Drosophila melanogaster: one gene and its partner. The protein of the gene in region 1 interacts with the protein of each later gene in a pairwise test. Each region holds a gene or a part of one and is shown on either strand. Other genes may lie near its edges.

Region 1 (4,548 bases):
TTTGTATTTATGTTTAATTCTAATTTGTCTCTCATCTGACAATTTTTTAAAACCGAAATATTTTTTTTGAAACACTTTTAATGTTAATGTTACATCATATTAAGTCAAATGATTTAATAAATATACTAAATAATTAAATATGCAATTAAATTAAATTGCAAAAGTAATATCAAAGACAATAGAATTATTCTAGTGTCTTTGCTTTGTTCATATCTTGAGGCACGAAGTGCGGACACAAGCACTCAACAATCATTGCCTTATTAATTTTTCACACGCCGCAAGATGAATACTCTAATGACAAATATTCTTATATAAATTCATTTTTGAAATTTATTTTTGTGATAATATGTACATAGATTTGACTATTTCTAATCTATTTTCAAATAATAATAACGTTAAGGCAATGCAAAACAAGAATTTTTCGCATGGTGCCAATTGATAAAAAATAATATAGATTTAAAGCCAAAGAACTTCTAAGGTGAAGGGCATATTTTGTCAAATTTACAATGCATGTGAATACGTGTGCACACATACAGATGTCTGCTATCACTTTGTGCGTTGAAAAGAGCTGTTCGCTGTAGCGCTCTTCGCTCTCTCGCTCTCTAACAAAAATTCGAGAGAGCCTGGAGCCACCTCTAGAGCCACGGCCAAAAAATCGTGTGCCAAAAAATCGTATGGCGTTACGCATCTTGTTATTCTAGGGTCTTTGGCTGTACCACGTTTACAACTTAGGCAAATCACTAAATAATATAAATATAGGAGCTGTGCTTACAAGGTATGGTCATGTGCTAAGCTTAATCTAGCTATACCTAGACAACAGAAGCGACAACCTTAAGCTATTTTGGGAACGGGTTTTGTCCATTTGTGGAGTCTTAGAAGAGTCGCTTTTGGACGATGTAAAAGACACAGGCGAGGAACAAGGAGAAGGCGAAGAAGAGCAGCATTTTGTCAGTGCACTCGCGTCGTCCGTACTTTTTGAGCAGCTTGCCGGACATGCTAATGCTGCCGGCCGTGTGGTGCAGTTCGTCGCTGGTGGCCTCCACATTTTGCGACGAGGCCACGAGCGTTTCCAGGGTGATGGCGCTCTTCTGGGTGGTCTCCGAGAGGTGCCGCGATATAGCCAGCATCTTCTCGGTCACGTCGTTCTCCTGCGAAACCAGACTGCCCTGGTTGTGCCGCGCCCGTGTTGTGGTTCGTTGGCGTAGCTCACTCTCGCCGGTAATGGCCATTAACTCCTCCCGATTGGCCTTCTCGATCTCCAGCATCGTGGACACGTTTGCTTTTCGGAACGCCTGCAGCGTTTTGGAGAACTGATCACGGTGGTCGTCCACTTCATTGGCCAGCGCAGAGTCTGCCGTGTCCCGCGCCCAGTCGTCCAGCCGCTCGATGCTTTTGCGGATAGCAGACAGTTTGGAGCGGCCCGCTTCGTTCAGCTCCTCGAGTTCGGCGATGGAGGTGCGGCTGTTCAGGATGTCCTAAAAACAGAAGCTCGGTAATGAGGGTTTCTCTTCAGATAGCGGAGACTTACGTGTATTATTGCCTTAGCCTGCAGATTGTTATCGATAAGGTCCTGCCGTATGGCCTGTAATGTAAACGCATCCTTGTCCATGTCTCCAACTTTGTTTTGTTTCGAAAATATTCTATTATTCTGCTTTGGTGACGTGCATTTAACGTTAATTCCCGCAATTTTCTAACACTACCACGGCACGGTATATATCGATGGCATTTAATCGCCTAAAAAATATCGTTTACATAGTGATGGTATGGTTTTGTAATGTCGACATATTTATATACATTTCTTATAATTATTTTGTTATCAAAGAATTTCGCCGAAACGGAAATTTTATTTTTAATAAATTATTGATTTTTATTGAATTACAAGTGTCATTCTAAACAGCATTGTATAATACCGCAAAAATCGATAGTCGATCTTAAATCCTTGTTCCCGAATGTCCGTAAAGTGTCATCTTTAAAATAACCGAATGGTCGCGTGAAAGGAGGAAACTATTTTGCACATTTCAATCTGCACTAAAGCACATGTATATCTGGGTTCACCTGCTTTTGTCTTTACTACGAAATCATTTCACAAGTTTCCTGGTCATTTGTTGCTCGAACAATGTCAGATTCGACTATTTTCCGTTTTGTAAGTATACCCTGGACTTTAAACTAGTTAATTCCGATTTATGATTGATTTATTTAGTAGAACTCATCCATTCTTGATCAGTCAGCGGACAGCAACGTATCCAGTTCGAGCTCCAATTCCAGTGTATCCGACTCTTCTGTGGACTCCCATTCATCCATAGAATCCAATTCGGGACACAATACATCCGTGGAATCTCAGTCATCCGCGGAATCTGATTCATCCGCTGATTCCCATTCGTCCTTGGAACGCCCATCCCCAGTGGAGCGTGATTTATCTGTGGAATCAGACTCATCTTCAGCCACCAATACCAGCGAATCTTCAGTCGGAGAAGCTTCAAACCAACTGCAGTCACCGCAAAGCAATAACCCCTTAAATATGGCTAACTTGTCTGTCTCGACTGAAGATGCTCATTCGCAGATCAGATCACTTACCCAGGATGTGATCCAGATGGAAGCAGAGTTGGATCGCAGTATGTCACTCCATAATCATTACGAAGTTTTCTGTTAATTGTTTCATATTTCAGTGAATCGCTACTGCGAGGAAGTTGTGGCACAGATTGACACCTTCGCCACGAGAACCTCAACGCCAACAACTCGTAGAATTCGCCGCAGAAGTAAGTGCAGATCAAAATGAACGCATCTGGGTTTCACAATGAACAATGTTTTTAATTCCACAATAACCAATGACATAGTTCTTTCTATAACCCTGCCGGGTTACTTACTTTTGAAGGCAAAATTTATCTATATTTTTTAAAATTTTGTGAAAACCAGATAGCTTTCGCGGATAGAGCTAGCAATAAACCGAATACCGTTTCTTACTTTTTCCGTAGCGAGTCCAGTAGAAGTGATAGATCTGTCCCATTTGGACCGTGCACCACCTGTTCGATCCGCTCGGAATCGTGATCCCGATGCTTTCATCGATCTATGCACCCCCGAAGGCCCAAGAAGTCGCACAGTGAATCTTCACTCCAACGACTCCCTCACCATTCTGCCACGTCGGTCAGCCGAAAATGACCCGGTAGTGGATCTCGACGTTGCGTCGCCACCAAAACGCGTTAATCGCGACATTGATGAGTCCCAAAAAGAGGAGTTATACAAGTGCCCCATCTGCATGGACAGTGTATCGAAGCGCGAGCCAGTGTCAACCAAATGTGGACACGTCTTCTGCCGCGAATGCATCGAAACAGCCATCAGAGCTACGCACAAGTGCCCAATATGCAACAAGAAGCTGACCGCACGTCAATTCTTTCGCATTTACTTGTAAGTTGCTTATACTATTTCACATTTTTTGCTCTGTGAGCCTTAATATAATATAGTTTAAAAAAAAACGCTTAACTATGTTAGAGACGGCAAATAATGTCTGTTCTTGTGATTCAGAAAAAATTAGTTATTTAAGTTGTCCTATGTAATCAGTGGCGCCCAAAAATATTTGAATACAACTATAAAAACTAAAGACTTCACTTTTGATGTATGAAACCATCTCAGGCTAGAATAATATAAGAACGACCGAAAGGAGTGTCAAAGTATTATGTAGGCATTTTTCCAAACGCAATTTAACAATGTAACATACATATAATATAATAAATAAAATGGTCCCAACGCATATCAACAGGTTTGTCTCAATCTCATTTTTTATTGTTGGCTACTATTTTTTGAGACAGAAGTCAGACATGGAATTCTGAGATCATTAAAGGGTCGATAAAACAGGATAAATTGGAAACAGGTGGAACATGAAGTGTCTTTAAAGAGACTTTTTCCCTCCAATTTTGTATATATATAACAATATATTTTTTTTTTTTTAAACTTCATTCTATTTATTTTGGTTCCAAAAGGAATCGTTCGGTCAATTCCTCTGAACTTAACCTTATGTGTGTATAAAGGTATATTAGACCAAGTGGTTTCTTAATTATTAAGTACAAAAGGGAAAATGTATCTAGTTATTAATTACTTATTGTGTAAGGGTGTAGGGAGATCGGTGGGGTGTACCCTCTTCAGCCTTCGGAGGGAGATGGGATTAGATAGGCTATTTGCTAGTCGGTTCGGGTGGACCATAAGCCTGTCGGCATAACGGCTGCTGTGAAAATTAATCTGATCCCCAAGAGGGGTAACTTTCAGATCTCTTTCGATTACCTTGTTTGTCACGTACCAGGGGAGCCCAAAAGCACGACGTGCAGCTCTCGACTAGACGACACGGAGCCTATTGAGCTGGGATTTGGCGGCAGTTCCCCACACCTGGATGGCATAACTCCACGTTGGAGCAAGTATGGCTTTGATTAAAAGAGCCTTAGAGCTCACTTGTAGTTTGCTGGAGTGGAAGAGCCAGTCGAGCTTTTTTAGCTTCGCCAGTGACTAAAATTTGACCGACGTGATGTGGGCCCTCCAGGTCAGTCTCCGATCTAGATGAAC
Region 2 (3,294 bases), on another chromosome or scaffold:
ATGCGCCCAAGCATGGAAATGAAAATGTCGGTGCATGCGGGGAGCGGCTTTCTGCTTCTGTTTCTGTTTAAGTTTCGGTTTCAGTGCTTCCCTTTTCGCACGTGTGTGTATGTGTGCCTGTCTGTGTATGTGTGTCGGCGTGTCCTTCTGTGTGTAACGAATGGCAAATTTCAGGAAGCGGAAATGGCAATTGCAAGCGATGGGAAAAGGCAGCAGAAAGACAACGACTGAGGCAAATGTGAAGTTGTGCGCTAAATGAAATGCCAACACAGCAACACGGCCGTGCAAAACGGAAATAGCAAATGCGAATGACGCTGGATCGTTGGACGGTTGGCTGGCTGGATGGCCGAAAAATGGTGTTGGGCGGGGGTCTTGGGATGACAATGGGTGTCCTGGGCAGAATGGGCAGACAGGTGCCAAGGCAGACAATTTGCCGGTATTTAAATTCTATTTTAAGTTCTGTTCAAGCGCGTCAGGAAGCAAACGTAAGGAAATGGTTGACCGTGAATGGTGGACACGTTTCCCACTAATATGGCTGGAAAGCTTAAGGCTTCCTTTTATATATATGATACATATTATTTAAAATATAACCATAGATTTTATAAAATATTATAAATATTTTATTAACACTCATAATATAAATTGCTTAGTTTTGTTTACTCGCCACACTCATTGATGTAACAAAAATGACAAGTAATTTTGAAGTCATTTCATTTTTCATTTGCTTGGGATTAACATTTTTCTTAAAGGACTTTGAGCGTGCATAAAAAATTATCTTTAGCACCATAAAGAACTATATTCACTGCAATTTAAAATGAAAATAAATCTGATCGGGTTAAATGAAAATCGACTCCAAAAGAAAAAATCCTATTTCATCAAGGAATATTCTCTTATTTTTTCTTTTGAATAAAGTTTCCTTTTCCATTTGACTCTTCACCGTCGTTCAGTCAGGGCTTTTTTTCCCCAGGCTACGTGTTTAAAAATATAATCGTATTGAATATTTAAATGCTCGCCAGGGCAAAAGTCGCCAAATACGCTGGCAAAACTGGACGGGAATCAAAATCAAATGCAATGCCTGCGGCTTCGGCGAATGCTGGCTGCCTGTCAGCCTGGCACAAAATTAGATTTAAATATTTTGGCATTTCCCATCAATTTTCATATAATGCAACCCCATCCTTTTCGCTGGGATGCAGGTCCTGTTGCATGGAGGAATGCTGATAGTGAGTGGGATTCGTCTGTGGCAAGTCATTCCAGCCCTACACAAGCGCACACATCGATGTGGATTGAAAGACAGGCGCACACAACCACACATGCTCAATCATTTATGCAGCAATCAGTGCTGACGTCTTTTCCACACGTACGATTACCGGCATAGAGAATCGAGCCCTACTCTCGGTTATGTGGAGCATATTGGGAATCGAAATTGAGTGCGGGTTAACAATGAGGCAGTTGAGATTGCGGCAGCTTCTCTCGAACTTCTGTTGCTCGTGAGTTTCTTGAATTTAAATCAATGGCCCGGGCATCCACTGCGTATGAGTAATATTATACAAGGATGAACAGGTAATTTAATTTAGCTTTTCGGAACAATTTTTTGTTCACAGAATGCAATCAAAACATGTATGAGATAATATACATTTAAACAATCGTTGTCGAATTATTTATTTTATCATGATCCCTACTTTTTTATAAATTGACAATCATTTAAGTAAACAATCCTTTCAGCAAAACAGAAATAACTCCTTTTTCAAGGTGCAACCGTGAAGGACGACTGCACAAAAACTCTATTGGATTATTTGAAGGTTGAAATCAAATTAAGTCAAGTGAATAAATTGACTTTTAGTGCATATAAAAATCGCAAAAAGCGCAAATAAAAATGAAATAAAATTGCGATGGATAAAAAGTTTAAAAGTGAATCCATAGAAATTCATCGTTTGCTGATGACGAAACATGAAAAAAGGAAACTTAAAATTGGTTATATATACGAAATTAACAAGGGAAATTAAACGATCACATAGCAAAGCATTTTTTTGGAAAGTAGTCATTGCATATATTGCTTTCTGAGAAACTTCGTATAAATTTAAATTATTAAAATAAACCGCTAGAAAAATAAGTTAAAATTTGATATCAATTAGAATGGATAACGACAATATGCTCGACTTTACAGACTTAATCAGCTGCAAGGACTTACCGAACATAACTCTGCACAATATCCGTCCCATTTACAGTATAAAGGTTTTCATGTCCGAACCTAAAAACTCCAATGTCTCTATTGCTGAATTAATCAAACGCCAGGAAGTGTCTGCAGAGCAATGTCGCAAGGCACTTAAAGTCATAAAGGACAGACTTCTTCTGAAAATGGCAGCGTTGCAAGAGCTTAAGAAGTATCTGCTGGATTTGCATTCGGAGATCAAAAAGCCCGGTGCAGGGACTCGTTTTGTGACCAATCAGGAGAAAGTTAAATTGCATTTCCTAGACGAGACGGAAATCAGAGAAGTCGAATTGTCTGACGCCGTAGAACGTTGCAATATAAAGCTGAGCTCGCTTTATTGCGAAATCCTGGCTTTGGACAGCGACATGGGCAGTGTCGCCTATTTGGAGAGGGTCGCCCAGATCAACAAAGACTTTATCATGGATTGGCATAAGACTCAGAGGCAGAATAAGACAAGCAACATCCATTGTTCCGGCCAAGGCGTCAAAAAGACTTTTTAATTTGGACTGTTTTAAACTTTACATGTTTCACTCATATGCAATTATTATCGCACTATTCTGGAAAATAAATATTTATCGCGAAAGCAAATACAAAATGTTTTATTACACCTCTCCGAGATTGAATAGTTGAATTTCCAGCAATGAAATTAGCCTTAAGTAATGTGCTCCTCTCTTAAATCCTATCCCTAGGAATCTTTTTTCCCCCTCGACTTTTCCTGCTTCGTGTCCTTCCGTTTCCCTTTTCTCCGTTTACCTGTCACTGACAGCCCGCTGGCCGCTTCATCTTCATTCCCCGTCCATGAATAATCCCTGCGACACTTGCGTTTCATGGCTTTGCATAGTTAGGACCTGTTAAAGGAGGGACCTGGTCCTGGACAGTGTGCTCAGGCATCTCCTCTCTTAGCCAGCGCTTAGCTGGACCTGGGGAGTTGAATCTGTAGCTGCACAGCAAAAAAAATTTTAAAGGTTTCAAAAAGATCTCAAAAAAATGTCCCAAGAGTTTTAAACTCTATATAGAATAGTCTTGAGTTACGTGTCCCGTTCAGGTAGTATTTTTAATACCATTTGCTGGCAAGTTACTAATAT

What was found. The genes of interacting proteins can lie anywhere in the genome.
Region 2: the proteins of dgrn (region 1) and CG15124 interact in a two-hybrid assay, tested with the Drosophila melanogaster proteins (2 studies listed by BioGRID).

The regions. Positions count from the first base shown.
Region 1 is NT_033777.3:5,822,833-5,827,380, forward strand, and holds dgrn (degringolade), read left to right. Parts: upstream 1-1,782; 5' UTR 1,783-2,116; coding exon 2,117-2,143; intron 2,144-2,200; exon of another isoform or gene 2,201-2,203; coding exon 2,204-2,612; intron 2,613-2,666; coding exon 2,667-2,756; intron 2,757-2,972; coding exon 2,973-3,406; 3' UTR 3,407-3,744; downstream 3,745-4,548. Other genes in the region: Sec20 (secretory 20), read right to left, coding at 873-1,475, 1,529-1,609.
Region 2 is NT_033778.4:19,640,905-19,644,198, forward strand, and holds CG15124 (uncharacterized protein), read left to right. Parts: upstream 1-2,042; 5' UTR 2,043-2,133; coding exon 2,134-2,709; 3' UTR 2,710-2,794; downstream 2,795-3,294.